Drosophila melanogaster: one gene and its partners. Changing the gene in region 1 together with any one later gene gives a genetic interaction. Each region holds a gene or a part of one and is shown on either strand. Other genes may lie near its edges.

The links.
Region 2: of Fur2 (region 1) and trk, changing one enhances a phenotype caused by changing the other (phenotypic enhancement), as found in Drosophila melanogaster (one study listed by BioGRID).
Region 3: of Fur2 (region 1) and Pgant4, changing one suppresses a phenotype caused by changing the other (phenotypic suppression), as found in Drosophila melanogaster (one study listed by BioGRID).

Annotation. Positions count from the first base shown.
Region 1 is NC_004354.4:16,371,524-16,382,591, reverse strand, and holds Fur2 (furin 2), read right to left. Parts: upstream 9,507-11,068; 5' UTR 9,405-9,506; intron 9,371-9,404; exon of another isoform or gene 9,169-9,370; intron 8,963-9,168; exon of another isoform or gene 8,758-8,962; intron 8,052-8,757; exon of another isoform or gene 7,832-8,051; intron 7,667-7,831; 5' UTR 7,537-7,666; coding exon 6,733-7,536; intron 6,668-6,732; coding exon 6,563-6,667; intron 6,501-6,562; coding exon 6,243-6,500; intron 5,940-6,242; coding exon 5,805-5,939; intron 5,745-5,804; coding exon 5,585-5,744; intron 5,525-5,584; coding exon 5,221-5,524; coding exon of another isoform or gene 5,217-5,220; exon of another isoform or gene 5,170-5,216; coding exon 3,946-5,169; intron 3,886-3,945; coding exon 3,698-3,885; intron 3,629-3,697; coding exon 3,472-3,628; intron 3,404-3,471; coding exon 3,129-3,403; intron 3,031-3,128; coding exon 2,745-3,030; intron 2,671-2,744; coding exon 2,471-2,670; intron 2,405-2,470; coding exon 2,117-2,404; intron 2,055-2,116; coding exon 1,831-2,054; intron 1,766-1,830; coding exon 1,325-1,765; and 2 more. Other genes in the region: CG9992 (uncharacterized protein), read left to right, coding at 35-334; nonA (no on or off transient A), read right to left, coding at 11,045-11,068. UniProt on the Drosophila melanogaster protein: Furin is likely to represent the ubiquitous endoprotease activity within constitutive secretory pathways and capable of cleavage at the RX(K/R)R consensus motif.
Region 2 is NT_033779.5:10,267,133-10,276,746, forward strand, and holds trk (trunk), read right to left. Parts: upstream 5,193-9,614; 5' UTR 5,078-5,192; coding exon 4,370-5,077; 3' UTR 4,325-4,369; downstream 1-4,324. Other genes in the region: CG4953 (uncharacterized protein), read left to right, coding at 1-168, 292-604, 667-795, 851-1,294; CG4957 (uncharacterized protein), read left to right, coding at 1,829-2,187, 2,244-2,418, 2,481-2,576, 2,631-2,741; Mulk (Multi-substrate lipid kinase), read left to right, coding at 2,983-3,080, 3,142-3,262, 3,317-4,324; Utx histone demethylase, read right to left, coding at 5,580-5,774, 5,864-5,990, 6,065-6,274, 6,331-6,750, 6,834-6,973, 7,033-7,736, 7,802-7,934, 7,995-8,255 and 4 more.
Region 3 is NT_033779.5:3,467,703-3,479,275, forward strand, and holds Pgant4 (polypeptide N-Acetylgalactosaminyltransferase 4), read left to right. Parts: upstream 1-4,900; 5' UTR 4,901-5,100; coding exon 5,101-5,600; intron 5,601-5,659; coding exon 5,660-6,002; intron 6,003-6,067; coding exon 6,068-6,496; intron 6,497-6,565; coding exon 6,566-7,228; 3' UTR 7,229-7,636; downstream 7,637-11,573. Other genes in the region: Pif1 DNA helicase, read right to left, coding at 149-1,195, 1,248-2,192; CG31776 (uncharacterized protein), read left to right, coding at 2,512-2,978, 3,032-3,374, 3,435-3,857, 3,964-4,623; thor, read left to right, coding at 10,914-11,058, 11,483-11,573. UniProt on the Drosophila melanogaster protein: Glycopeptide transferase involved in O-linked oligosaccharide biosynthesis, which catalyzes the transfer of an N-acetyl-D-galactosamine residue to an already glycosylated peptide.

The DNA of each region.
Region 1 (11,068 bases):
AATTATAACTATATAATTCTTTTTGCACAAACAGGAGGATATCAATTCGATCGAAACCATTTCCAGTTTAACCAGGTTTCAGGGAAACGCCACAGACTTCGATTGGATCGACGAAATGGTGGGACAGCGAAACACCAACGAACTGATACATGCGAATAAGCGAAAGATGTCCAAAAAGGTGGAGGGCCTGGCCGCCGACCAGTTGGATGCCAAATCGTTAGGCTATGACAATGACAAGGCCAAATTGAATCGCAAGGAGTACGATGACAACGATGAGAAAGTCGTTAAATGCTTGTACTACTCACTGATGTGCTGCGACTGTACTATATCTTAAATGGATCGCATCTTAAATACGGATCCGCGTCCATGTAATATACCTCTCAGCCAACTATGTAAAAATATATATATTCGATTTTGTATACTTAGCGTACGCAGCTAAATAGGACAGAAGAAGACATAAGTATTAACGAATTTCTAATGATTTACAAGGAAAAACTAACATTATGAAAATTCTGAAATCCAAAACTACATGGCTACAATAATTTGGCTTGAATATTGAAATAAGTGATCGAAACACATATATATTTAAATATGTAGATATTTTCTATTTTTGTAAATAAAACATTTTCTACCAACCGAAACTCTGCATTTCACTGGGATGGATGGATGCACTGCAATCTGAAAATATAAATATTCAACAAATGAGATGAAATGTTATGAAAACCATAATAATAATGCCTTCCCTTTCATTTACGTGCATCGCAGAAATATGCTTGACAAATAACAACGATAAATAACAAAAGAAGAATGGGTTCAGATACTTAAAAATTGTTTACATTTATTAAAAAATTTATTAAACTAAAAACAATAAATCCTAAGACTAATTTTGTTGTATCGAAAGCGATATTTTCTCTTGTTCTCGGATGTTTGCCAATAAATCGATCAAAATTTATTTTGGTTTTTTTCTCTCTTAACCATTTTTATCTTCCCTATTTGAATAGAAAAGATATGGCTGGGAACAATAAAAAAAAGACACTGTCATCATTCAACTTGACATAACATTTTTCATAAAAATTTAATACAAACATTAAATTTACAAATATATATATAAAAACAATTCACAATCACATATAAATTTTTATCATTTTCAGATGTTAAATATTTCGATTCGCTATATTCCTTCAAAGCAAGGTTACAATTTACTAGTCCAGAGCAAGAAAGCCAAGATCAAAGTTCTTGATGGTTGGTTGGTTTGTTGGTTTGTTGGTTGGTTGGTTGGTTGGTTCAATTACGTTCGCTGTCGCGTCGTCCATTGATCAATCAATCAGCTACGGATGTTTGTACGGCTTGTGGTTGAGGAAGGATGATTTTTTCGTTCCGCATTCGTATGCCTATCGTAATGAAGAATATCATCATCATCTCCGTTCGCATTGCACCTTTGTAATTGGGTCTCTGCTTTCTGGGCTCCGGCTCCATTGCAGTGAAACTCGATCGCATCAATATCATTTGTACTCTCAATGTAAAATTCGTGTCCATGATCATTGCCTTTGCGGTCGTAGACGATCCTGTTGTTTATATCTGTGCCCACGTTGCCGTCCAACTCGTCATCGGAATTATCACCATCTGTATCATCGTCCTCGCCAATGTTAAAAATGAATCTTGCATCGCTGGTGGGCTTAGCGGACAAGTTCTTTCGCCTGCCCGACGACGTGTTCGCTATTTTCCTATATCGCACTGAATTTCTGGATACATGGTTGCTGTTGCGCTGGACAAAGAGTACGAAACTTGAACTTGAAATTATATTCAATTACCTTTAGTCCAGTTTCTTACCTGTAAAACAGCAAAGATGATGGAGAATATTGTTATGATCAGCAGGCATATGGCCACAGCTATGGCTGTGATTGCCGTCAGCGGAGAGTCCAGTCGCAGGACGAACTCCCTGGCATTGCCATCGTTCTCGAAGGATCCGTGCTTGGATTCGCTGCTTTTGTACGCACTACCACTGCCCACAACCGTGCGCCGCTTGCCACCCGTCGAGGTAGCCTTGCATTCGCCTGAAAACAGTTTCCATTTCAATTATATTAGATCCTGCAGCTCGTATAAACTATTTGCTTACCGGTTTCGCCATCGCAATTGCAGCACGCCGCTGACGAAGTCTTTTCGGCCAACGTTTGATTCTGACAACAGGACACACACTGGCTGTTCAGCTGGTCCAGATGAAGCGGCGGCACACAACCCTTGCACGAGAACTGGCCGGGTCCGAAGCAGGAGCGGCACGAATCGTGGCACGTTTTGCATGTTGCCGACGTCGTATCGTAATATTGTGAGCTCAGGCACTCCATGCACAGACCGCCATCGAGCATCGAGTGTGGCGGACACGACGTGCACGCCAATGGTCCAGCATCTGGAAAAGCAAAATATTGGGGAAACACATTAGCCACCATGCTAGAAGATTGACAGTATATCATACCATTGCACGTCTTGCAGTAATGGTGACACTTCTGGCATCCAAAGTCCGATTTGTAAAAGCCCTCGGGGCACTCGGGATGGCATTCGCCGGCGGCCAGTTGCCATCCAGCCGGGCACTGGACGCACTGGTTGCGCCTCGGTCCGCTGCAGGTGTGACAGCTGAGATAGCACTTGGCGCAAATGCCACGATCGCTGTAGTATCTATAATGATATACGGCACACATTGAAAGCTGCAGCTCCGGGACACTGGTGGTAATTCAATCTTAACAGCTTACCCATCGGCACAGGTGGTGCGACATTCGCCATTCTGCAGCTCCAGACCCTTGGAGCAGTTACTGCAGTTTGTCCGCGAGACGCACTGGCTGCACGTGTGCAGACATGGTGAGCATAGGGAGCCCGCTTCCACGAAGAAGCCCTCGCGACAGCCGCTAACACAGCGACTCTGTTCCAGCAGTCGATTCGGCGGGCAGGACGTGCAGCTGGTATCCGCTGGACCGTTGCAGCTGCCGCAGGAGGCGTGGCACGGGCGGCATTGTCCCTCAACCTGGCTGTAGAACTCAGCTGCAGGATGAAGAGCATGTCAGCAAATTATACATTAAATCAAGCAATTTTTGGCAAATTAGCCAGGATATAAACTGCTTGCTTATGGATGAGCTTACATTCACTGCAGCCTTCGCTGCCGCTCACGATGCACTTGTCCCTCTTGTTTAGCGTCCAGTTTTGAAGGCACTCGGAGCAAACTCCGTTGCTGGTGCAGGTCTTACATCCCTCCTGGCAGGGCATGCACTCCAGACGTTTTTTGTCGGCATAGAATCCGTCCGGACAGCTAATAAGGCATTTGTTTTGCCAGGCATATCGACTCGAGCGGCACGTGATGCAGTCCTGGTCCGTGGGGCCATTGCAGGTGGCGCAAGTCGAGTGGCAGAAGGCACATCTATTGAACGCGATGTGATTAACAAATTAAGCTCTTATTGAGAGCTAATCAAATATATGTTTACTCACTTGTTATCCTCCGTTTCGTACGTATCCAAGGGACAGGCCGAGTAGCATTTGTGCTCATGCATAACCAAATGGTGATCACAGCTAGTGCAGTACTCGGGATGGTCCTGGCATGAGGCACAGTTGGGCTCGCAGGGAACGCAAGTTCTATTCCTGCTGTCTGTGGAGAGTACAAAGAAATAATTGTTTAACAATAGCAAATTTTTGATGAACAAAGCCAGATTATTACTTTCAAAATATCCGTCCGGGCAGAATTGCAGGCAGACGGCGAGATCGATGACGTGCAGGTGGGCCGGAGCACATGTGAGGCAGCTGTCGGGTCCGGCACCGGCGCACGTTTCGCAGGTGTCGTGACAGGGCCAGCAGATTCCAACCTGGTTGGGAAAGGAACGCGGTGGGCAGCGACTTACACAAGTACTGTAAACAGAAAACCATTAGCACCCGAGCTCCACAAATGCGCATGTTGGTACCACTTACTTGTCCAAGCGGTAGTGACTGCAGGCAACGCACTGTGTGGGTCCACGGCCATAGCAGCCGGAGGAGTCGCACTCGGCATCGCAGGAGTGCAGGATCTTCTTGTCGCCATCCCTCGTTTCGGGCGCCGCTACCAGTTGAGCAGCAGAGGCGGTAAATCCAAGGGATTCAGCCGACGAGCCGCCAGCAATCGCTGCGGTCACATTCTGACCGTCCAATGTAGCTGTTGCCGGTTCCGGATCGGAGCCAGCGCTGCTAAAGATGTTCTGATAGTTGAGGTAACTGGCAAAGCTATCCGTATTGAAGTTCCCACCCTCGTTGGCAGGCTGGCCAATGTTCGAGGCCGATGGGAAGAGGAACGGATTGGAGCTGCTTGGGCTGCGCAACTGGGGACTGCTGTTCAGCAGCTCGGACTTGAGCCGCATGGGCTGAGTGGAAGTGCCATAGAATATCAGCTGCCACTTGGACAGGATGCCCGGCTGATTGACGCGCCGGCGTCCGCCGTTGATCACCTGCAGTGTCCAGCGACCCTCCGCCTTCTCGCCCCAAAAGTGAACACTCAGGAAGGGCCAGTCATCGAAGTTGGACTTGACGATGTCGCGCGGCCTCTCAAACAACAGGGTACTGGTGGTGCCCATCGGTGAGGTGAGCAGTATGCGAAGATTTCCTCGCGGGAAAAACCGTAGGGTAATGCGACATTGGACATGCTCTAGGTAACGCACTTCATTGATCGTGCCCGCACACCCATTGACATCCATATGCGTGGACAAGGTGGAACCGTATGCACCATCTATCTTGCGATCCTCATTATTTTCCCGCGACTTGCAGATGTGCTGCGGCGGCACCGATGTCCACTGCTCCGCCAGTGACACCATTGCTCCAGCATCCATTAAACCGTATCCAAACTTGTGGCTATACTTTCGCTTAACACCGTTCAGTGTCCATCCGTTCTCCTTCTCCAGTGGCGCCGGTCTTGATGTGTACACCACCAAGTATTGCATGTCGCGCCAAGTCAATTCCGGATTGGCCTCTAGCGCCAGGGCGCAAATGCCGGCTGCCAGTGGTGCCGATGCCGAGGTGCCCGTATGTTCCACCGTACATATATGATCGGGTCTCAGGCTGCCGTCCATGTCGACGGTGGCGACGCTCTTGTCATGTCCCGGCGTTCCGGAGCTGTAGGTGGTAGCCAGCGTGGAGGAGCACTCCTCCAGGTACCAGGGCTTGAAGCTGCAACAACATTACTGAATCAGAATCCAAGTCTACATCCTGTCAACTTACCCGGCTTGAGTGGCACTCGAAATGGAAAGGGTGAAGATCGAATTGGTGTAGCCATCGCAGTTGCAGGAGTCAGTGTAGCGTCCACCGTTGCCAGAGGCCCAAACGAATATCGAGCCCTTGCCCTGTCGTCCGCTGGTCACTCCGTAGATGAAGGCTCGGCGGGCCAACGGACCAGGACCATCGACAGTGGAGCCATCATCCTCCGGTCCCCAGGAAGCGCTGTATATATCGATGTGTGACGGATTAAGACTCAATGCCTGGGCCTCAACCACATCGTTGACCTTTCCGTCCAGCATTCGTACTCCTAATAGCACAAACAGCTTAGATGGTTTGCAATTAATACATATCAACCATGATCACTTACCACCAATGCTGGCATTGTAGGCCACTCCCACTCCGCAAAAATTGTTGAAAGCCACCGCGGCCACTTCGCCGGCACATCTGGTTCCGTGCTTGTTGTCACCATTGTCCTGGGGCGTTGGATCCGAATCGTTGCCATTTATATCGAAAGAGGCCTCGGGATCCTGCGTTTAAATAGTATTTTTAACAATTGATCATTGATTTTTTTTTGTTGGGATACTCACATAGTTTTGGGCCAAATCGGGATGGTTTGTCTGAATGCCATCGTCCAGAATGGACACGACCACGCCCTTGCCGGTGTAGCCCTTTTGCCAGGCGGGACCCACATTCATGTCCAAGCCATCCTTGGCGCCGCCATTCTACAAAGCGATTTTTGTGGGAATTTACAAATTGATTATTAAACATGACATTGGCGAAGAGATAAGCAAAAAATAGGCAATCAATCAACAAAGAAATCCAAACATTTACAAATAAAGCATGTTAAATGAAAAGAAAATATTTCGAAATCAACAAAATCAACACTAACACGGTTAGTAGCAATCGATTGAACGTCTCAAAGGAAACTACGCTGATGGTATAGAGAATCGAGCTAATAGACTAATGGACTATAAAATATATATGGATTCATGAAGCATGCATTTAAATGAGAGATGATTACATACTTTACTCACCAGATACCACTGTTCCTTAAACAACGGATCCGGAAAGATGAAATGCGAGCTGACATCCCGGTACTCCATGCGCTGTGAGTGCGAGGCTAACGAAATCGATTCTGGGGAGAATGAAAGATGCGGATTCGGATCGACAACGTAGCCGCCGTGTTGGCGTAAAAGATTATACGGACTGTAGGTGGGTAAGTCCTGGTACGGGCCGTCCCTCTTTCGGCGCACCTTCTCGTGCTGTTGCTGCATCCATTTCACCTGCAAGGCAATCATGATTGAAATCTCTGCTCCAACTGGATACTTTTTTAGAGAGTACACACCTCGTTCTCTGATTTAAGGGCGCCCTGATGTTTGCGACTAGAGCGCAGCGAACGCTTCGATACATGGTGATGCTGAAACAGATAGTAGTTGTCCAGCGATCCAATCTATGAAAAATTAAGTAAATTGTATGAGCACCAATTCCATTGCAGCGTTGGACAAACATTCTCACCTGTCCTCTATTGATAAATCCATGTTTGGTAGCTATAACATCTGCCATTTGCTTGCCAGCTGGAATGTTGACGGCGAACTCATTTGTGTATATCGCCTCTTCCGGAATGCTGAAGGCGCCAAACATATCGACCCCGTCGAAGTCGAGGCTATTTGACTGCCGTTCAACAATTTCATCTTTCGCACTGGCATTTGTGTGAGTATTTTCATAGTTATAATCGTATTTGCCGCCGCTAATGGTCTCAGCTTGACCCGCTCTTTCACCTCCCAGGCCAACCAGGTCGACCTTGTGGAGCTCTCTGTCATTACGATAATCAACATCAACATTCGATGATGATGATGATGATGATGATGGGGGATTTGTTCTTCTACTGCTGTGCAGGGACGACACATCATATGTGGTCGTTGCACTATCGTTGCTGAGTATTCCGACATAATTCTGAGTCTCACCCGCACTACTCCGTAGAGCACAACTAGTATTTGGGCTTAGGATTACTAAAAATAATACAAAATATATACAGCTCTGTGCCATTCGGTTAAATGTACATAAATAGATTCTATTGAGTTTTGCCGTTGCCGTTTCTTTTGCTCTTTGTGTTACAGTCGTTCCAGGGTCATGGACTCGCATATGGAGCATCATCTTTCGCCGTCCGATCTTTCGGTACGTTGGCTCTGCGAGAGATTTGGGGCCTCCACAGCGGGAAGGTCGCTGCTTCTCCAAGCCGGACGACCATGGATCTGTGATCTGTGGCGTGGTTCCAATTCTACCGATGGTAACTCGGCTGGACCTCGTCGTATTTGACATATTTAACTAAGTTTAGCTAATGGTATTAAGGTAGTTTGATTCTCCCGAAGAGTCCTTTTGCGACGTTTCCCTTTCCTGTTGTCGTACTCATGAATCTATTTTTTTGATCTCGTATCTCACGATCTAGTATCTGCAAGAGAACACGAAAAAGCACTTCAATTGTAGATTGAATTTGTGTTGTGCGAGAGACCCAAATAAAAACCTTGGACCGGTTAAACGTGGGCTTTTTATAACCAGAGATGCCAAAATGATTCATATATCACAGATATTTATGGCCGAAACGGTTTGTGCTTACTTATTAATGAAGTGCCTATTTGCGATGATCCATTGTTCGTCGGATGACACAACAGAATCACCTGGGGGGAACTACAGGTAAGTGTTAACAATGAGTAAGCCATATATGTACATATCTCTGTACATACATATGTACGTATCTATGCACATGTGTATCCACATGTCATTTGATTCTATTGTTTTCGGTCAGAAAGTCCCCCGAAGTGTAAGATGCAGTGGGTCTGCAATAGGGGAATTATGCATTAGCCCATTCTAATCATGTTTCTAATTAACATATTCACCACTACGGAACCCGAGCTTTTAAATTGAATTAACATTATTATTTATTGAAATAGCATTATACTGAACTCAGTAGCAATTGAAAGCAAAAAAAAAAAGGTATAAACAAATAACGGGAAACCGGGGATATCACTTCATCGAACCCCGCTTGTTTATATGAAAACCCTATTAAAAATCAGAGAGTTACCGTAAACCTGCGACCAAATGAAGAAATTTAATTTTATAATCAAACCAATTAGGCATTGCCAACGCGTTTCCAATTAGAAAATAATATATGTATGTATGTATGCACACGGCGCTGCATATAAATTTATATTATCAATGTTTAAATTTGTGCACGCATCTTTAAATTTTAATGAGTACATGTGTATGTATGTATGCATGTATGCATATGTGTTAGTCAAGTGATATGTTTATCCCATATTTCGATATACATATGTACATAGGATATGCAGTTATGCATGCCCGATATTGCATAGCTAGACGCATATGCTACATGAAAAGGCTATTAAATTATGGCTATGGTATCATATCAACAGTATCATATGTACAGACAACATCTATTCCGGTCTCTGTTTTACTGTGCCATTCGTTTAAAAAAAGAAACATACATATATGGCTGTGTTTGCTTGTAAGGAAATACTTCACTTTGCCGAGCATAATCCTACAAACGTATGCATATGTACGTGTGTATACATGTTTCTGGGCAAGTTCAGCTTGTACATCTCCCATTTTCCATCTCAATCACTCTCGCTGTATTTCCCACATGCTTATTAAATCACACATCTCCACATTTAATCACACTAATTTCGCACTGTGTGCACACTATCAACAAAAAAACAACAACAACAATTAAGCCACCAAGCCAACTTTTTTTTGTATGTATACATTTGCGTCCGATAATGTTTATGTGGCTGTGTGGGTCCGTGGGGCTTTATACACATTTGCAATTTTTATGCGTAAGAGTTGCCATTTCGATGGTGCATACATACATACACCCACAGATGTATGAAATCACGTAATGCAAGCCATGCATTCGTATGCTCTTTGCGTACATACATACATCATTGTGCATCAGAAATGGCAATAGCGATTCATGTAATCCAAAGCATTATATGTACATACATATTTATGCACAAATTGGCTCAAAGCGGTCACATTTAGAAATAAATCACAGATACACTCTTTAAGCTTTATTTAGCTATTGTTAAATCAATGCAATGCTATGCAAACGCAATCGAACAGACTGAAAACTGAAACTGAGACTTGAAAAGCGAAAGAGAACGCATGCTTACCATGCGTACATACAATATAGGAACTAGCCGAAAGCCGAAAGACCAAAAAGCCGACCGAACGAACAAGCGACGCAACCTCGACTGCGCTCCAGCTTAAACTGAACTTTATTTTGAAGTTAATACATATAGCCAACGTTGGTTGTTTCTTTCTCGCTGGATTTGTGCTAACCGCATACACAAACACACGCCAAGTATTAACGTACAAACGAACATACAAACGTACGTACATACAATCGTGCAATCAAACATTCGTACATTGGCAAGTGTACGTATGTTTTTACATAAAGCACAGCTTTCGGAGCTTTCAAAACAAAATGCAAAACATAACACGCAACCGTGCTGTAACAATAAAAAAAAAGAGAAATATCAACTATTACGTACGCACGCATACACCGACGTGCATTTCGTACCACAGCCGATGATAAATACACATTTAAGACGTGTTTCGATAGGAAACTGAAACTTTCGTGCAAGCCAAGTACATACATACACACAAACCGCTGGAAGCTTGTCCATCCATCCATCCATACGTATGTTTGTACCGTACATACATACGTGCGAAGACGCTCTCTAAGCGCTGACATTCAAACAAGAGATAACATTTAGCGGTAGCGCAAGGTTTTCGTTGTTATTGGTTAGCCGAGATTAGCGTTTCCATTTTCCGCTTTTTTGTGACCCGAAAAACAAATGAATCCAGTCGCACAAAATCCCCCATAAATGTTTGGTTGCTTGTATGTATGTATTTAAGCCAAAGATTTTGGCAAATCCCAAATGTATGTACATACATATGCATCTTGAGCCCCGGTATCGCTACACAAACACGCTCGCAAATACAAACAGATGCGAAGGCAACGCGCTACTTTTTAATATCTGCTTCACCATTAAACAATTATTAGCGGTTAGGACAGGTTATGGTTGTTTCCAATGGGAAGTAATACACAAACCTTAAGCAGACGCAAATTGGAAGTGCACTGTAATAAAAAAGGCCTTGGAAGTAATATAAAAATTAAATTATTTATTTCAATTTCGCTTATCGCTGACTTATTTTATGTTGCCGGAAATACGAAAAAACGTATCAAATCGAGCGGGTTTCGGCATAAAAGAAATAGAAAAAATGAATGTTTCCAAAATAAATAAAAATAAATTTCCTGTTTTTCAGCTATATTAAATTATTAGCTTTCTATTCGATTGCTATTTATAGATTTTAATGCCAGTTAGACTTGCGTAACAATAAATAACAATAAATAAAAATAAATAAAAATAAATTGCCTGTTTTTCACCTATATTAAATTATTAGCTTTCTTTTTGATTGCTATTTATAGATTCAAGTGCCAGTTTGACTTGCGTAAAAATATGTTTTCAGATCGGTTTTGCAGTGTTGCCAGATTGGTGGTAGCATAGGTAAACAGCTGTTGAATGATACCGTTAAATAAGATACGAGTTAGATCAAATAAATTTACTAAAATAATGCGATAAAACGAAGCTATTAGAATGATTATTACGATCAAAAGAACTTTGTTTAGAACATTTGGATACAACCTTTTTTATTTGAAAGGGTTTTATGCTTATATGTTTTAATACTTTTTAAATCTTCAAAGCTTTTCATTTCAGCTCATTGCAGTTCCATATCCCCGAATTAATCATAAAACAATTAACCAATTTAA
Region 2 (9,614 bases), on another chromosome or scaffold:
CACCCCGAATCCGGTGGAATGCGTCACCGTCAAGGCGGATCTACAGTCGAACACGTCACGCATCAACCTATCCATGCACGAGAACGCCAAGTCGCCGGTGGTATTGCCGCCGGGTGGAACCATTGACGATGTGATACGATACGAGGTGAAGGAAATCGGAACACACATGTAAGTAGCACAAGATAGTTGCAACCACAAGCTTGTTCCTCCATATAATCTAAAGCAGTACATAGTACTGTCTTCTGGAAGCCCCAATAATATCATTAATTGTATATCCTGAATTCCTTTCAGTCTCGTCTGCGAAGTGAACTACTCGACTCCTGCGGGCTATGCTCAATCGCTGAGAAAGTTTTTCAAGTTCCAAGTGCTGAAGCCACTCGATGTGAAAACCAAGTTCTACAATGCGGAAATCGACGAAATCTACTTGGAGGCACAAATCCAAAACGTGACCACCAGTCCCTTCTGCCTGGAAAAGGTGGAGCTGGATGGCTCCGAGGACTACTCCGTCACACCACTGAACACGCTGCCAAATGGGGAATCCGTATTCACGGTGAAACATATGCTGCAACCCAACAATAGTTGTCAGTTCCTCTATTGCATCAAGGTGAGATGAGTTGAATTCTCTTATCTATAAAAAATTCATACAATTTCGTATCTTGCGTGCAGCCCAAAGGAGATATTGCGAAGAATGTAGATACCCTGCGGCAATTTAATAATGTGGGTAAACTGGACATCGTCTGGAGGTCGAATCTGGGCGAGAAGGGCAGACTGCAAACCAGTCAGCTACAGCGATTGGTAGGTGTACAAGTTGTAAATAAAATAGATCCCAAATAATATTCTCATTTTTTAGCCATTCGAATGCAAAACGCTCCGCCTGGAAGTACTGGATGCGAAGAACACCATTAAAATCGGCACGATATTCACGTTCAATTGTCGCGTGACGAACACATCCGAGCATCCAATGAAACTGAATGTGCGATTGGCTGCCAAGTTTTCGCCCGATAGTCAATACACGGGCTGTGCTGATTTTATGCTGAATCTTCTACAAAGTGGCGAATCTGCCGAATTTCCATTGTCCGTCTGTCCATCTAAATTGGGCCTCGTGAAAATAACACCCTTGGTATTGACGAATACGCTCCAAAATGAGCAGTTCACCATTGAAAACGTCGTCGATGTTTTTGTTGTTAATTCGGATTACGATAATGATACCACAACTCATCAGAATAAGTTAATTCGTTACGAGAGTGCTGCAAGCTGTTTGACCCAAAAGCAAGTTCAACTGCAAGTTGTATAGAATTGAATAGATGCAAAAATGTATATTTTAAATTTATGTTAATGTGAAATGGGGTTTTAAGTGACGGGATAGATATTATAATTTATGTTGTTACTCTATGTAAAACGCCATACTTTAATAAAAAAAAAGTCGGCGGTAAAATTTTTAATGAAAATTTGCTGAAATGTCCTTTAGTGTGGTCTTGCGTGCATTATGGAATCCTTAATTTCAATTGCATATTTTATATACTTTCTTGTACAAAGATAGTTAGATCTCTCTTTTGTTAGCACATAACGAAAAAACTAAATAAATAAAAAACATCCCCATGTTCTCACAACAAATTAAAAAAAATACCCCATTTAACTTAAATCAAATATATTTGAAAATTTAGACCACATTTTTTATAGCAACACGGATTTTTAGGAACTTCTGCGCCGGTAACACTAGTCCACTTTTTAGATCACAACACTAGAACTTAAAATGTTACGAAATGTGTGCACATTTTCCACGCATTTTGGAAAATGCATATTCCAAGCCCAGCAACCGATTCGTGGAATGGCAGGCCATTCCAAATGGGCCAATATCAAGCACACCAAAGCACTGAAAGATGGGGCCCGAGCGGCGCTATTTGCAAAAATTTCGAGGCAAATTCGAATGGCCATTCAGGAGGGAAACTCCGCGGATCCGGCAATTAACTCCCTTTTGCGAACGGAAATAGAAAGAGCCCTCAAGCAAAACATGCCCAGTGGCACCATACAAAATACGTTAAACAAATTCAAGGCCAGCAAAGTGCAACTAAAGAAGTACCGACTCGACATCAAGTACAAAAGAAACGTGTACCTCATATGCATTTTCTATACCGACAACTTTTCTGGCGTTAAAATGGATGCGACACCGATGATCAAAAAAGCCGGGTAATATCTCAATTTGCATCATTTTGTTGGATATAATTTACCTATGAGATTTTTAGAGGCGAATTCATGGATGTTGGAAGCCTATTCGAGGATTTTGGATTGATTGAAACTCGCTATGATACTGCGAAACTTCAAAATGAATCCAGTTTGGAGGATAAAGCCACCAATGATGCTATAGAGTTGGGCGCCGAAGAGATCGAAGTCGTTGACAATGTCGATGGCTCCGTCAATGTATGTTTTCTTTTTTTTCATTTATATTATATAAATATTAATTTTCCTACATTTACATACAGTTCCTATGCAGTCCAGTGGTTTTAACTAGCTTAAGTAGGAACTTGGAAAAAGCCGGATACACCGTGGAAAACAGTGAACACATATTTTCACCAATGGTAAATCATTCATTTCATTCAATTTCATTTTATCTAAATAGTATTATCTTTCAGAATGTAGTGCAATTATCACCCGAAGAGCAAAAGACCTATGATGTTTTTGTAGAAAAACTGAGAAACCTCCCAGGCTTAGAGGATATCTATGACAATGTGGAACAAAAATGACTTGTTGAATAAAACGTTGAGTTTAAACTTGAATAAATAAATTTGTTTCTAACTGATTAAGATACACTGTTAAGTAACAGAGTGTGCAATTTTCAGTGTTCCCGTTTCAGCGCTAAACGTTTCTGTTATTTTAAAGCTTATGTAAACTGGCTGGAATACCCTTGACGATCTAAAATCCAGCTGTTTGTGTGCGGCCAAACCAATACATGTGGAATCAAAATCATCGGTCGAAATTGAAAATATGAATTATTTAAGAGTAATTCGGAATAATTGGAAGAAATGCACGTTCGGAGCGGCAGTATCTGTGTACGCGCTGCAAGCGCTGAAAACTCACATCGAGTATGCATTCAGAAAACCGTGAAAATTTGACGCAACTTTAACCCCCTTATTTGCTCTCCAGGATTGAACAACATATGCGGGAATTCGCCTCCAACATTCAGGCCAACTGGATATCGGATCGCCCCAAAAAGGTACTGGTGGTCATGAATCCGGTGGCCAACAAGAAGAGATCGGAGAAGTTTGTAAGTAGCTGGCACACAGCTGACTAAGATGATAACCCAGCCATAGATTTTCAGTTTAAGAACTACTGCGAGCCGGTTTTGCATTTAGCTGGATATTCGGTGGAGATCCTTCGGACGAATCACATTGGTCATGCCAAAACCTACGTGGAGGAGTTGGCAACGCTACCCGATGCCATTGTTGTTGCCGGCGGCGACGGCACCTCATCGGAGGTGGTCACTGGGCTGATGCGTAGGCGCGGCAATCTCTGCCCGATCACCATCCTTCCGCTGGGACGTTCGGTGCAGTCCGCATCCAAGCGCATCAACATCTTTGGCGTCAAGGACGTCGACTATGTGAAAAGTCTTTCGAAAGCCCTTGAACCTATGCTCAAGGATGAGAGCCAGTACCAGAGTGTGATCCGCTTTGATGTGATCAATGAAGAAGATGGCAGCAATAGCCAATTGAAGCCCATATTCGGTCTTAATGGTCTGTCCTGGGGTCTGCTGGAGGACATCGATGCGGCAAAGGATAAGTACTGGTACTTTGGACCACTGCGACACTACGCTTCCGCTGCGTCCAAGTCCTTTGCCGATAACTGGAGCCTTAAGACCGACTATGTGTACACACCGCCGTGTCCTGGCTGCGTTGACTGTGCTGCTACTGTGCAGCGCCAGGAGACCGCCCAGCCTTCTGGCCTCTTCACCAGAGGCCTCATTAAGTACAAGAATAATCCGGGTGAAACCAAGAGGCCGCTCGTCAAGAACGACAATTGCAGCAAGAAGTTCGAGGGAAGCGCTGAAGCCAGCCAGATTAACATCAATTGTGTTCAGAACAAGGATAACTTTGCGGAGCTGGAAAGTCAGTTTATAAGCTCCCTGCAGCCGGGCTGGGAGTTTATCAAACAAATTCCGGAAGTCACGTGCAGCAAAATTTTACCCAGCTTGGTGGTTAAGAGCAGGACTATTCAACTGCATCCGGATGGTGAAATGGGCGAGAAGTTTTACTCCATCGATGGCGAGGAGTACGATGCAAGACCCATTAAGGTATCTGTTGTTCCCAATGCTATTAAAGTTTTTTGTTGACATTTTAAACGTGTATATTAATTAAATCTTGATTAAATGGCGCTACTAGTATAGCATAACACATTCACAGCAAAAGTTAACCGCTATTTCTTCCCAAATCCAGAGCTGCGTATAATCATTCTCAAACTTCTCTGCGGTGATCAAAATCAATTTATCGTTTATTCGAATGCATGAGCCAGTTTTACGGCGCAGTACTTTTATTGTAAATGATTTTGGCTTGCAATTAAAGTGATCATACCAACATTTTCTGGCAATACACTCGATCGAACGGATATAGCGTGGAAAGTAATTTAAGCCTAAGTCAATCCAGTTGATCTTCGACGAGCACTCCCACGGCCGCTGCTTGAACCCATCGATTCTCGGATGTCCCACACGATCCATGAAGGCGCTTCTCGTGCGCAGACTCTTGCTCCTCGGTGCCTCCTTCTTCTTCTCTACCAGCGCAAAGTGGTTGGTCTCCCAGGCGGGAAAGTGGCTAACCGAAATCGCATCACTGTCCGCATAGAAGGGCAGCTCGTACGACGATCGCTTGTATCCCAGATGATAGCTCTTCTCCTCGGGCTCGCCCGGCGGATCGATGCTCATGTAGCGCGGATTAAATGCCTGTCCCAGAATTTTGGCCAGCGACTGCGTGGATAGCTCGGCGCAGTAATCGGCATCATCTTGAGCCGTCCCCAGCACTGCCAACCAAGTGAGCACAATGGCCAGTTCACTTTGGGATTTCATAGTTGGACACAGTATACGCAGAAACATGGCTGGCTAAAAACAGGGCTACACCAATATCAACCAATTGATTTATCGTGTTTACAGCAGTTATCGTTGCTCTCTACACTGTAACTTATTTAGGTACTAAAGTAATAACAGCCAATTCAATAAAAAGAAGGATTTTAATTTCAGTGTCATTGCGAAAGATTATAAATTAAATTTATTCATATATATAATTAAAACGCATTCTAAACTTTGGATAAATTTAAAGTTTTTTTTTTTAAATTAAACTATAAAAGATGGGTCTAAATATTTGAAGTCATAATAAAATTGTCATCATAAGGTAAGTTTCGCTACTCAAGTGGGCTCCAGTTTTTTCGACTATCAAACATAATAGCCGAAAAAACTGCTCTGATGGCTTTATTCGAAAAATCCCATCTCTATATATTCGTACCGTTATGTTTTATCAAAACAATAGAGAGTATATTGTACGTTGTAAAATATACATATATTAAATCTGCATTACTTAAAATGATTCCTCGTATTACAACTACTGAGTGTATGCTAGTCCTTGGGTTCTGTGTAAAGTAAACGAATCGTACACGCGCTGCAGCTCAGACAGACGATACTCCTCCAGGCAAACGATTCCCTGGAGCGACGGAGATAGCTTCAGCGCGCACGATAGGCAGTGGACCACATGTCGTTTCTCCTGCTCCTTGATGAACAGCACATTGAAAACCTCAACCTGCAAAGAGTGCACAAATGATTAAATAAACTGCATTCATATCACCTTTGGAAACTGTATAAATATGTTAATAATACTACGCTAAATACCTCGCATTGTCCGCAGTAATGGGATGCTTCGTTCTTTCCGCGTCCATTGAAACGTATTTCCACACCTTTCGATTTGACATACTCTTGTATGTGCAATACGTTTTTCAACGTTTGCAGCAAACACATTCTGAAAATTACAAATTACATATGTATGCCCTATAGTATCTGCATAATGGTGATTCCTATCATTTGCTAACTCACTTTATCAGCTCGAAAAGTTTGGTATCAGACACTTTAATATTCCTTGCAAGATTCCAGCTTAAATGCACCATCGGCACAATGCTCTTGAAGGCCTGCACTTTATTCCACTCATATCGCTCGATGGCAAGAGAATACTGACGGGCAGTCAAGGGTCCAACATTCCACGCAATGTTGTTGCACCAACCGATCGACTGAACCCAATGGACGCATCTGAAAGTAGGTTTGATTGTTAATACATCATCCTTCCTTTCATATTCAGTGCTTACCCGGCATTCACCCAAACCAAGTCACCGGGCTTTTGTATAAATCTATAAACTGGTATATTCTCCTTGTATAAATCCTCCAGGACGGGCCACCACGAGCCGTGCAGATAGCTAATGTTGTTCTTCTCGCAAAGATTGTGAACTCCGCCCCAGTAGGCGTCAGGGACGGCAAACCATTCACAGTCGCCAGGACCGATGTTGATGTTGATTGAGCAGAAGTTGTTGTTCTCTTGGTGGCCAGGCGTCCTACTTCCGGGCACCTTCATGTACAGCTGAACGGTGTTCATGCCCAAAATGACGTGGCCCACGTGTGATAGCATATTGGCAGCGGATATAACTCGCGCAAAAGCTGGCAGTTTTTGTAGCTCTGTTAATTGTGGTTTCCATTTCTTTTCATCGGAGAGGTCCACGTTGGTCCCGAACCTAAAAAAAAAAGCGAAATAAGCATTTAATTTATGTTCATAAAGTTCGTAATGCAGACATAAATGGTTTGGAGTTTCTATTACCTCAACATTTTGCTGTTTATTTTGTGTTTTTTACGTTTGAGAACAATGTTCGAATTGGATACCGAGTCCTTTGAGTCTGAATCCGACATTGCTTGCGAGCCGGGGAAACCTTTATCGCTTTCATCCTGCGGTAAAATAAGCTACACGATAAAGTAAACTTGTATTCATGTTAAAGAGGAACCAACCCAACGAACATTACCTTCAAGCTGTCTTGAAAACTGGATGCCTGATATTGGGCATATTTGGCTATGGTTGTGTGAGACCGATGGGAAATGCAGGCCCAGACGCGCTTACCCTGCGAAGTGTCCCAATTTTCATCGGGAGACTGGTGCACTTGTGTCCGAACCTCAACACTATGGTCCGGGTTGGCTTCCACCAACGTTTTGGTCGAAAAGAGACCGAGATCTAGCTTCAAGACGCCCGCTAAGCCGCGTACAACGGCAATCGGATGTTTCAGGCAAAACTCCTGCAACTGTGGGCTGAACGCGTGCTTCTTATTTTCTAAATGAACAGAGGGTGTGGGAGGCAGGAGTTGATCTCGCGTCAGTTTCTGCGGTGGGCAATCGGGCGGAGATGGCGGCGGCGCATTCACTTGCAAAATGGTACAGTGCACGGGCGGTTCATCAATCGGCAGCAGCTTCACAGCTACCATCAACTGCTTCGAGTCCATTTGTATTTTGAACGTGGTCGAGATGTCGGCGTTGTCACCGCCAATAAAATCATGCCTCGAGTCCTCATTGTTACTCAGTGCATCCTGGCTCAAACGTTCGAGCTTGATGCTCTCATTCTGTTTATAAATATCATTCGAGATGTCGTCGAAGGTGTCAAGAACACTTTGCTCCGAACTTTTGTTGCTCTCCGGCATGGCGTTGAAGTTGCGCTGGTTTAAAGATTCCGAAATGTCTGTTTGGAGTGTTAAAAAGTGATTTAATACTTTAAGATATATACTATTTAAATTGGTCACTTACTTATTAGATTTTGCGCTGATGTCTGACTGTTGTTTTGTGTTACTTCTTGTTGGCTTGTGCCATCTTCCTTAATACGTTTCGAAGGTATGGGACTTTGGCTGAGTTGGCTATGCGGATAAGGTGGTGGCGGTCCCTGTTTAAAAACATGATTTAGTTGATTGCCCACTGATTGGTTTAGGATTAAGGAATTCACCTGTACTGGACTTTGCTTTGTGACCTGTCTTGGTAGCATCTGCGCTGTTTGTTGTTGGCGAGAGTTCATTTCTAATGATATTGGCAGGTTCCAAGCTTCTTCGATTGAACACAGCTGGCGGCGCTTGGATGTAATACTTGGCAATGGTGCTTGACTGAGCTGGCCCTCCAGGAAAGTGATTCTCTGAGACAGGCCTTTCGACAGTCCAATTGTGTCCTTTTTCATACGTATTGCTTGTTTTTTTCGAATTAACGAAGACTTCTTCAAGCAAAACAAGTGTGTTAGGTATTGGAAATGGCTACAATTGCATATATAAATTTACCTGGAATGATATTTGTTTGGTTGCATTTAAGTAGCAAGCATAGGCATCTCGTAATTGACCACAGCTCTCATAAAGTATACCCAGGTTGGTCCACGCGGCTTTATGGTCTTTATCCAGTTGCACAGCACATATGTAGGCTTGAAGGGCATCCGTGGGTTGATTTTGTTGCTGATATAAGACGCTAGAAGTGCATGTGTAGAATACAAATAAGATAGGGGCCAAGCTAAACACATTCATTGTTATTTTACCCGATTGAGCACCAAGTATCAGCATTCCCCTCACTTTTTTCCACCGAGTTGCGATATGCTAGGAAAGCATCATGAACCTTATTGATGCCGGCGTAACACCTTCCTAGTAAATATAATGATTGTCCACTCTTTGGGTCAGCTTCGATTGATTTTTGTAGAAAATTTAATGCGTTTGCTTCACGTTCCTTTTTTTCGCCTAGGCATTCTACGCAATGGTACATCCATCCTATAAGGATTCAATAAAAAGTTATGTCTCTACCAGCTTAAAATATAACTTTTTAACTTACCTAATTGTCGATAAACATCTGCTTTGAGCTCCAAGGAGATGTTTTTCTCATTTAGAAGAAATTCGTAGCCATCCTTTGCCGCCTTGTGCTTGTTTTGAACTTCGTACAAATGCGCGATTTGAAATTTGACTGCAAAGTATTAATAATGAATAAAGTTTAAGACACGGGGTGAACGTACTGCAAAATATTTAAATTCTGAATGAATCATAGAAGTTTGCCTTCATCGTATTACTTGATAATTCAATGTATGAGGACTTTTTGCATATAAGTTGTTTATATATCAATAATAAGATAACATTTTAAGATGATAAGTAAATAACTGAAGAACAGAAAAACCTTTTCAGATCACAGTTTTAATTACACATGAAACTTATATGCAAAAGTTTATAATTATTCAATAGATCTTACCCTGAAGTTCCGAAAAGGTCGAAGGATATGTATAAAGCAGCGCCAATTGTAAATGTTTTAGGGCAATATGGAACTCCCCGCAGTGTTTTAGCATAAGACCTAGACGCAAATGAACTTCATTTGCACATGTAAAATTGGGACTTAGGTATAAAAGCTCCTGAAACGATTTGATGGCCCTGGAAAAAAGTAAGTAAATTAATTTTTTTATTCGTTGTTCTGAATTATTTGTTATAACTTGAATGTATTATTTTAATTTATTAAATTTTGTTTTATATTTAATTTATAGTAATTGTTTACAGTGAGCGGTGTTTACATAAGTGCATACATACTTATGTGCATGCAGTCACGTACACAC
Region 3 (11,573 bases), on another chromosome or scaffold:
TTAAAAAAAGGAATGCACAGTCCATAAATCATTTGCTTTTCTTAAAAAAAGAAAAAATTACACTTTTAGAAATAGATACCAATAGATAGGCAATAGTGAAATTTGTTCAAGCTTTCTAGAATTACGCTATCTTAGATTACTTTCGAGCTCAGCTAATCGAGACCAGCGGCTTGTTGATGAGACTCTTTTTGAGCTTAGCCAGAGCGCTATTTGCGGCCTTGTCTCCTGGCTTCTTGTCCTTGTTTTTGGGACCCAATGGTATCATGGTTGTGTCCATTAGCTTGCGTCTGAATCCCTTGTAGAACTGCAGCACGTGTGGATTGGCCCACACTTGCTTGGCGTCAAAGTCCAGGATGCGAATGGACTGCAGGGATTTCGCACGGGATAAGGCCACATAGGCCTGTCCAGCCTCAAATACTTTGGAAAGGGACATCTCCACGCAGTCGAGGGTTAGTCCCTGACTCTTGTGTATGGAAAATGCCCAGGCTAACTTCAGTGGCACTTGGCGTCGTGTTATATGGTTTCCTGAGGCGGTCTTTATTATCCACCTTTCGTGCTTGCAAACGTATTCCTGGTTGTTTTTGAACCTTACCACTGGCAGATCCTTCTCCATTCTTACAACGACGCCTCGAGCTCCGTTCACCAGTCCATTGGATATGTTTATATTCTTGAGTAGCATTACTTGGGCGTTAACTTTTAGGTACAACTGAGATGGAGCCTGGATCTGTTGATCCAGTGTCCTGGTCATGCTGGCATCGGAGTCGTCAGCCTTGAATAAAATCTTGTCGCCATCGAGGTTTTCCAGCTTGGACTCGTTAATGGAGTTCGCATCGTTTGTGTGGGAGCAGAGTTGAGTGGCCAGAATGCCGTTTCCCTCAATTTTCTGCTTTGATGTAGCTGCAAGTCGACTGGTTATGGAATCGTTCACATGGCCAATTCGGAGGTGGTTCAGAATCTTTACAAACTCCGGATCCGATTGCCGATGCACTTGCTTCAGTTCGTAGACACACTGGATGCAAGTCTCCCATGCGGAGGACTGAAAGCAGAATCGTTGCTGGGGCGTGGCAGTGGGGGCTGCACCAAAATCTCCCTTTATGACCGGAGGCAGTTGCAAGAAGTCACCACACAGGATGAGCTGTATGCCGCCAAAGGGGCGATCATTGCGCCGAATGTGACGTGCGACGGCTTCAATTTTCTGGGAAAATAATTGTTAACACCTTGCTGAATTCAAAGTAAAGATAAAGTACCTCAAAGAACTGTCCGTCCACCATGGAGATCTCGTCAATAATCAACCGCTTGCACTTCCTCCACGTCTGGGCATTTGCGGGTCGGGAAGCCAGCTCCAGACACCGCTGCATGGTGGCGTCTCCTCCTCCTATGCCAGCGAAGGCGTGCAAGGTGGTCCCACCGATCAGGCAGGCTGCCACTCCCGTGGAGGCCGTGGCCACCGTTCCATCGGGCGGCAGGGCTGAGATGATCCTGCGGAGCAAGAAACTCTTGCCAGTGCCTGCTGAACCGGTGAAGAATACGCTCTTGCCCGAGGTGCACGCCCGCAGGACTTCCATTTGCTCCTCACTGAGTCTCAGCGACTCGTCGGTAGTCGACGCATATAGTTTCTTGGCCGCGGGCATGGTGCCCCGTTCCTTCTCCTCCTTGAGCTCCTCGAAGCGACGCTTTTTGGCGCCCTGGGGCGACGGCGTGGTCACTGACCCCTTGGACAACAAACCCGCCTTTTTGCGCGCCAAAATCATCTCGGCCGTGGTGACTGGAGAAACGTCGTTAAAGCTGCTTGGCTTGCCTGACATCAGGTGCTCGCGGAGTTTCTTCTGCAAGGTCGCATCGTCCGGCTGGGATCCTCCCTCGTTTCCGTTCATTTTAACGAAGATCGTCCGCAGGAAGAACATCAAAGTCCCCGGCGGTGCATTCGATAGATAGAGGGTGCACTTCTCCGCCTTGAAGTTGAAGGTGGCCTTGCCCTCGGACATGAACTTCTTGTGCACCATCAGATCCTTCAGCTTGAACTTCAGGGGCTTTAGTTTCTCCGGCGTCACCTCAACAAACAATTCACGCAAATCGTTCCGCACCAGGCGCAATGTGGCAGTCTTGTAGGCCAGTTTGCGACCCGTGATGCCCACCGCATTGGTCCACTCCATGTTCACCGCACAGGTGAGCACTGCGTCATTGAGATCCATGGCGAAATTAACTTCACTTCAGTCAGTTTCCGATTAAATTAAATTAAATACAAAAGCCAAATCTTTTCCATGCGCTTGGTCGCCGATCGGCTTATCGATATCAGCGTAAAATTATCGATATCACATCGGATGGCGTGAACGCATCATGATCGTGCACAAGTATGTTATAAAGTAGCAAAGTTCCACTCCAGGATCAGCTGTGTTACAATTCCGTTACAATTTAAATTGCTACATTTAAGGATTACAAAACAAGTAGGCCAGGAAAAGTAATTTGCTATGCCTATAACTTTCAATTGCACACTAATTAAGAAATATCACCATGAATGTGGATCTGAGATTGATTGTGCGCCTGTTGCTGGCCATTCTATTGACTTCCTTGGTAACTACCATTTTAATGGGCAAGCAGATACACAGAAGACTCGTGAAGTCCATGGTCAAAACAACCGGCGAAAAGGATAGTTTGCCAGCAAGGCAGCTCCCAAAAAGGGAGATCAGCCCGAAGGTCGCAGATTTCCCACCACCACTAACACTGAACCAAACTGAACTGGACATCTTAAAGATCCAGCGAAACAATAGTTTCCGCCTGCCCCAGCAAGAAGCTATTAAGGAGTGGCAGGATGCGATTTTCTTTAAAGAGGATAGTAACCGCAGGGGATTGGGTGAGCAGGGAAGAGCAGTTCAGTTACCAAACGCTAAATTAAACCCCGATGATTTCCAAGACTTCTATGCCGAACTCTCCGATCGCATTCCCCTGAACAGATCCTTGCCGGATACCAGACCTATAAGGTTAGTTCCTATGAAGTTTAAAATACTATACAATTTAAAGACTAAGAACTTAGTTGCCGGAAACGGAAGTATCTGGAGAACCTACCCAATGTGACAGTGATAATAGCCTTTCACGATGAACACCTAAGCGTTTTGCTAAGATCTATAACGAGCATTATAAATCGATCTCCTGTTGAGTTACTCAAGCAGATTGTGCTCGTGGATGACGATAGTAATTTGCCGGAATTGGGACAACAACTGGAAGAGATTGTGGCTCAAAACTTTCCGAAAATTATTCACATACTAAGACTTCCAGAACGACGTGGTTCCATCAAAGCGAGAATGGAGGCAATCAGGGTGTCCAGCTGTCAAGTTTTGGTCTTTCTAGACTCCCACATCGAAGTCAACACCAATTGGGTAATATTTAAAAAGGAATCAATTAATGTGGATAAATCTAGATAATTTCCTACTTTATAGTTGCCTCCCTTGCTGGAACCTATAGTTATTAACCCACATATAGTCACCCGTCCCATTTTGGATGCCATCTCACGCAAGACATTTGCCTATGCCAAACAAAATACGATGACTCGCTCCGGTTTCAATTGGTGGCTTGAGTCTGAGAGCTTACCAATTTTTCCTGAGGATAAAAGTCCTGATTCCACACCCTACCGTACACCGGTTTTATCAGGAGCTATGGCGATTGACAGGAACTATTTCTTGAATCTGGGGGGATTTGATGAGCAGCTGGACACCTGGGAAGCCGAGAAGTTCGAGATAAGTTTTAAGGTCTGGATGTGTGGTGGAATGATGCTGTATGTACCTTGCGCCCGGGTGGGTCACATAGGTAAAAGACCCATGAAATCGATTAGTAGTCCAGGATACCACAATTTTCTGGCCAGGGTAAGTGGAAAAACAACTCAAAACATGGGGGGTGGCGTATACGTAATATATTGTTTAACCTATTAAGAATATTACAACATAATTTAATAAGAGGATCTCTCCCTAGAACTACAAGCGAGTAGCTGAAGTTTGGATGGATAATTACAAAAAGTATGTGTACGACAAGAATCCGAAGCTCTATAAGATGGCCAATGCTGGTCTGCTTTTCCAAAGGAAAACCAAGAGAAATGCTCTGGAGTGCAAGACCTTCGATTGGTACATGACCAAGGTGGCTCCGGATTTTCTTAAAAGGTACCTAGCATTGGATTCGCCTTTGGTTTTCTCCGGGGTCATTGAAAGTGTGGCATTTCCTGGATTCTGTGTGGACTCCCTGAATTGTAGACACACTAAGCCCGTGGTTTTAGCCCGGTGCACTGGGCATAATTCAATGCCCGGCGAGCATCAGAACTGGTCCTTAACGCAGGATCATGAGATTCAACTGACGAACAGCAAAGATGATTGCTTGGAAGCGCAGGGCCTACGCTCAAAGTCGGTGTGGCTCTTTCGTTGTCACAAAAATGGTGGGAATCAGTACTGGTACTACAATCACCGTCATCGGTGGATCCAACAGGGCCAAATATGGGTGTGGTGCCTGGAAGCCCAATTGGCTAGTGGTCATAAGGTTGGCAAGGTTCTGGCCAATAAAATCTGCGATAAAAACCAACTGGAACAGCAGTGGAAAGTTGGGCGAAATGCGCCATATGATCCACAAAGGGAGCCTCATTAATATGTATAGCACAGCAATTATTAAAATAAATATTTAAATACAATTTTAGATACGAATTTTGCCTTATATGAAAGTATGCCTTCAGATACAGATGGCGCTCACGCCAATCCCCAGCCCAGTTCAAAGAGTGCCTGTGCAGATGGCGCCACCATGACGCGCGCTCCGCTAATTTGAATTCGCATGCAGAGATATTTCGTATATTATTGTTCTTTTCGCCCGACTTTTTCTCAGGTGAGTGTGGGATCTGGGCCTGACCTTACACGTCACCGGGCAGCCGACTCGTCTGCCACTGATTGATAGTGGAGAAGCGTGTTTTTTGTGGCCAACTGAAAATGTGAAAACTTCTTCGCCGCCTTATCACTGAGTCGCGGTTTCCCAATTACACTAATGGCTGTGCTTTTTGCCAGGTGGCTGCTCCTCTGCTGCATCGGCATGCCAGCAGTCAGTATTTTGGACTTCCGCCGCCAAGACGTCCACATGGCCATAAAAAAGAGATATGTAAAGCGCCTGTTGCGCAAGGTGGTCCTCCTCTTGGTGGTCATCGTCACTGTGTCCTTGGTCACCACTTTGGTGGTCGAACGGCGAATGAAAAATGCGGCGGAGCTGACGGAACAACTCGATCCGAATGGAGATCCCATAACGCCCGTTTTTAGGGCTGCCAATATACATCCAACTCGGAAAGCGCCACGACCACCATTTCAGGATCGCAACTCCGTGGTAGATATTCCGAGAAGTGACAAACTCCAGGGATTCCGACTACCGGAACCGAAGGGAGAGCGCAAGGATTGGCACGACTATGCGGCCATGGAGGCGGATAGAAAGCGATCCGGTTTCGGTGAGCACGGAGTAGCCGTAAAGATCGAAAATCCCGATGAGAAGCAGTTGGAAAAGGAGCACTACGAGATGAACGGCTTTAATGGCCTCATATCGGATAGAATCTCCGTCAATCGATCTGTGCCAGACCTCAGACTCGAGGCGTAAGTACATTCCCCATAGCGTGTTATCAATAGTTAAAACACTTATCTTATCTTTACAGTTGCAAGACCCGGAAGTATCTGGCCAAGTTGCCCAATATCAGCGTGATTTTCATCTTCTTCAACGAGCACTTTAACACCCTGTTGAGATCGATATACAGTGTGATAAATCGCACTCCACCGGAATTACTTAAGCAAATTGTGCTCGTGGACGATGGCAGCGAGTGGGATGTTCTGAAGCAGCCTTTGGACGACTACGTCCAGCAGCACTTTCCACATCTGGTGACTATAGTGCGCAATCCGGAGAGACAAGGTCTAATTGGAGCCAGAATAGCTGGAGCCAAGGTGGCAGTGGGACAAGTGATGGTGTTCTTTGATTCTCACATAGAAGTCAACTACAATTGGGTAGGATTTTCTAGTAAGCAATATGTTTGGATACAGAAGAATACTCTATGTTGCTATATTTACAGCTGCCTCCCCTGATCGAACCCATTGCCATTAATCCCAAGATCTCCACCTGCCCCATGGTGGATACTATTTCGCATGAAGATTTCTCTTACTTTAGCGGAAATAAGGACGGAGCACGAGGTGGATTCGATTGGAAGATGCTGTACAAACAGCTTCCGGTTCTGCCCGAAGATGCGCTGGACAAGTCCATGCCGTACCGGAGTCCCGTGATGATGGGCGGTCTATTTGCCATCAACACGGACTTCTTTTGGGATCTGGGCGGATACGACGACCAGTTGGACATCTGGGGCGGTGAGCAGTACGAGCTGAGTTTCAAGATCTGGATGTGTGGCGGTATGCTGCTGGATGTTCCCTGCTCGAGGGTGGCACACATATTCCGGGGACCCATGAAGCCAAGGGGCAATCCAAGGGGACACAACTTTGTGGCCAAGGTGGGTGCTACTCTCTAACCAGTTCTACTTTTTTAATTCTAATTATATTTGGTTTTAAATCTCATTTAGAACCACAAGCGCGTGGCAGAGGTTTGGATGGATGAGTATAAGCAATATGTGTACAAACGCGATCCGAAGACCTATGACAACCTGGATGCCGGAGATCTGACCCGCCAGCGTGGAGTTCGAGAGCGACTCAAGTGCAAGAGTTTCCACTGGTTCATGACGGAGGTGGCGCCTGATTTCCTCGTCAAATTCCCGCCCGTGGAACCACCTAGCTACGCCGCCGGCATCATTCAGAACGTGGCCAACCCGGTCTATTGCCTGGACAACATGGGCAAGTCCACCGAGGAGGCGGTGGGTATGTTCAGCTGTGCGGACAATAGGACCCATCCGCAACCGAATCAGTTTTGGGAGCTCTCCATATTCCGAGACCTCCGGATGAAGGGCTTCGATTCAGTGTGCCTGGATGTGCACGAGGGACCGCCGAATGCCACCGTTTGGATGTGGAGCTGCCACAGTCAGGGTGGCAATCAGTTCTGGTACTATGACAGGCAAACCCAAAGGTTGGTTCACGGAGAGAACAACAAGCGCTGCCTGGAGGGATTTGTGGAGAACGGCATAGCCAAGGTGGTGGCCAATTCCTGCGAGAATGGCAACGATCGCCAGCGCTGGGAGTTCGGATTCGTGAACCACACTATGCTGGACACCTTCTACGATGGATTAAAGTAGACTTTCATCCACGAGCCACTAACAATTCGAGTAACCACAGGCCAGATGTCGATCGGTTCAGGTCGGGGACCGCGATCGTCACGGGTTTAGTTCATTGTTCGTTGTGAAGGTTTCTGAAAAAAAAAGTTCGCTAAGTAAATTCCATTTTTCCATTAATTCTTGCCCCATGCATTATTGATATATGGCAGCGGAAAGTGAAAGATCTGGACAGGCAGATCGCAATCGGAGCGAGGATTCTGTCCGATCGCGAGCCACAAACTCTGATCTTTATTTGCTGTACGTACACTATATTTAGGTATTAATGTTTCGAAGAGATCCTCGACTACTTGTAAAGTTAAGAGATCGTAACTATGTGAAATTAAACAATAATAAAAGTTACAAGTGTATTGTAGAATCAATAAATACCTTAAACATTTTCTTTTTATATAATATAGATGTAATCGATGTAGTGAGAGCATCTGTAGTACTTCTTCACTTCCGATTTGAATTTTCGACTGTCGCAAAACCTTATCAGCAGGGCTGTTGACCTTTCTACAAAAGGAGAAAGAGGAGTCGGTAAGAGGTAGCAGACACCAGATAGACTAGAGAAGTTCCCACCCCTCCGAGGTCTGAAGTCCGAGATCACCAAAAAAAAAAAAAAAACCAGACATATTGTTAAGCTGATGTAATTTAAGACGCAGTTGCGCGATTGTCCCAGGAGAGGACGAAGATCGAAGATCCCTGGATGAATGTGGATGGATGGCAGCAGGCAATGACTTAGCGTCAAGCTGTCTCGATCTTGGGCTGGCTTTATCCTTATCTATGCAGTTCATTATCTACCAAACGAAAGCACATGCTAATTTATAGACAACGTGATGTTGTTTTGCTCATTTCCTCCGCATTTTTTTTCTCGTCGCTTTTCATATTTTGTGCATAAACAAAGTCAAGTGATTTGATTTTTTGGCCAACGCGACGGCGACGCCGCTTCTCAATCGGATTCACCGAATGTGGGTCATCGACGTCAGCGGAGATGGGGGTCTTATTTGCTTCGGAAGATTCCCTTTGTTAGGGCAGTTCACTTGTTGATGGGCGTTTGGTAATAGATAACAAAAATGGTCAAGTAGTACTTGTATATCTGCGAGTTTTCTTGGAAACTTACTTACCACTGAATAAAATGTGATTTCCATCTTAAGTAGGATGGGTAGATAATAAGCTATATGATATTCACTCTATAAATAATTTGAATTGGTAAACCACAATACATAGTCCTAAATACCTTTATATTATATTGCAATAATACAGCACATTCATTGATTTGATTACCACGTGTATTTGGCAGAGTATATAAATATCATTGGACTTTTTTGTTTACGTTTCTCATGGTTTTCGCTCTAGCCGAAAAATATAAACAAGTCGATGTCGTCTAGCCCATTCACAACCATCTCAGACTCGTTTGGGAATAGAACCCACCGATGGTAATGACCCACCGTTCGTCCGTATGTTTCACGCAATTCGATGGTGCAATTTCATCAGCCTCCCCGAAAAAGATTTCATCCGAATTTCACTATATATGTACGTATGTATTACCTGTCCCCCGGCGGATGGGAAAAACACCCCTCGGCGCTTAGAGAACCGGCTAGGAATATCTCAAGACGCATTTTAACTTGGCTGCAACGCAGTAGGAAAACTGCCTGCCGTCTCTTTCCTCGCGGCTATAGGCCTGTCTCTCTCTCTTTGCGCAGGTACATCATATTGTATCTGATGAAAACGAAAGCAAAATCCGAACTGGTTTCTTCGAGGGTTGATAAGCCCTAATGGAGGTGGAAAATGCGGAGAAGAGCCGCTCTCTCACCCAAAAAATAAAATATATAAACATATCAGCCGGCACGTAGGGCGGTTTCTATGCTGTGGACTACGTGCTAGATGACACGGCAAAATTGTCCGTGTTTTTCGTGTTCTGGCTCCCTTGTTTACCGTTTACTACTTTGGGGGTCAGTTGGCACCCAGCTAACTCCCACCCCCATCTAGTGTAATTGATGGATTTGGGTCATGCTTTCCCCAATTCAAATATGCTCCTCGTCACATGGAAATCTACTTTCAAGGTCTGTCAAGCTTCCCCATTTAGCCATCATAAATATTAGCACGCTTAAGTATCGACCTTGTGCAGATTTCTAGGTGGGCGCCATCCCCTGTCCCACATCGAGATCATGATCGCCGCAGATCAACACACGTGGCCACCTTTTGTCAACCCCATATCCCTCGGAATGGCCCGTGGCCAATATCCGAATTACGTCGAATCGTGGGCGCCAACGTAGGCAAAAGTTCCTGTAGCACTATTTACATGCGTCCAACGATTAAATATCGTCAACATCGCCCCCGCATAGCTAAAACCGCTCGTGCCGCTGCTTGGATCCACCCTATGCTTGCTGCGATCAGTGGGGCATATTAGTTTGATTCCAAACAAGATATTCCACCTCAAAGAACTTGGGAACTAATAAGGGTTCGATCACCAAATTTGGTGATATGATATATGTATTTCTTTAGATATGTGCGCTAATATTAAACGGCTAAGAAGTCAATGTGCCAAAGAAAAGATATTAAATATGTATGTTTCATATCAGTCAAGTTAAATTTTGATATGAGCTAAGCGTACTTTTGGATTGTGCACTCCTAAATATAGAAATCACGCTAAAATTGCATATCTAAGTAAATAAAGCAAGTAAGTTATGTAAGACGTGTATCTTTTCGTGATAATTATTTCAAAACGGCTCGTGCCAGATAATAATGAACACTTTCCGCCTGAAAAAAAGTGAAATGCTGGGTATCTTTTAGCCCATAAAAACCTGCAATATCGTTGCTCAAATTGCTATGCTCCGCGAGTTCGCACATGCATAGAAGGCACTCATAGCCTACGTCACGATTGCCGGCGACGTGTCTTTATGCTAATTAATGGTATTTCGCGAAAACGAGTGCAAAATAATGGCCCCATGGAGAGAGCGGCAGTACTTCACGAAATTCTGCGGAACACCTCTTGACTCCCAGACAGCCATAGATAAGATCCCAATTGCACCTGAGTCATCATCATTTCCCTAGCAAGATCGACAATAGACTTGGTTTTTAGAAAAGAATGCGATTGGCGTTTAGTGCTGTTGGCTAACTTGTTTACCAATAATATTGCCGTGCATTAAACAATAACAAATGACCAAAGATAAACAAGAGCTCAAGGCGAGAAGCCCCTCAAGACAGCCCCCCACCATCGCTACACCCCTTATCATCTAGAACCTCCGAGGTGTGCAGGCTGCAACAAAAATAAGAACAATAGGGGAATATATTAGAATACGGCAATAACAACAAGAACCAGCCGGTTTGTCATAAACTACGCAGAAAATACACCAGATAAAAACAAAAAACATCAGCCGACCAAGCAGAATAATCAGGCGAGAGAGCAGGCGAAAGAGCGAGAAGAGAGCGAGAGAGAGTAAGAATGGGGGGGTATAAATAGAGCCACACTTCGTAATACCGCCAGCAATCGCCTAGCGAACAGCCAACGGTGAACACATAGCAGCCACACAAGCTCTATAGCTGATACAAGCAACGAAATACAAACAACGCAGTTTGTGTAAACAATCAAATTGTCGCAGCCATATCGAGTGTGCTTACACGTCCAGCGGAAAGTTTTCGAAACCAATCCAATCAATCAGCTAAGATGTCCGCTTCACCCACCGCCCGTCAAGCCATCACCCAGGCCCTGCCCATGATCACCAGGAAGGTTGTCATCTCGGATCCGATCCAGATGCCCGAGGTGTACTCCTCGACGCCCGGCGGAACCCTCTACTCCACCACTCCTGGAGGTAAGTTTCGAAAATTGGAAGCTGAGACTACATCGAGTATTATTAAGTTCCTTCCGGAAAGTGGAGTGATTTTCTTATCATTAGATATGATATCAAGATGAAATTAATCAACATATTTCGAAAACATAAACAAGTATACCGTTTCTTTCCTTTGCTCAAACAACAAACAAGCTTTTGTTTGAGTTGTGATACATTATTTTTGTAAAACTCACTCACCATTTTTTGGCTGATGAAACTGGGCCATCTCGCCGAGTCAGTCAGTTGGAAGATAATCCCGAGCACATGTTCCACAGTTCGTGACTCAGAGTAGCGCGGCAAAGAAGCGTTTACTCAGCTGGCTTATCAGTGGGGAACTTTGAATACCTTTCTGATGCAACGCAGACCACCTTGACTAATAAAAATTTCCGCTTTCCTATAATTCCAGGCACCAAACTTATCTACGAGCGGGCTTTCATGAAGAATCTCCGTGGCTCCCCATTGAGCCAAACTCCGCCGTCCAACGTGCCCAGTTGCTT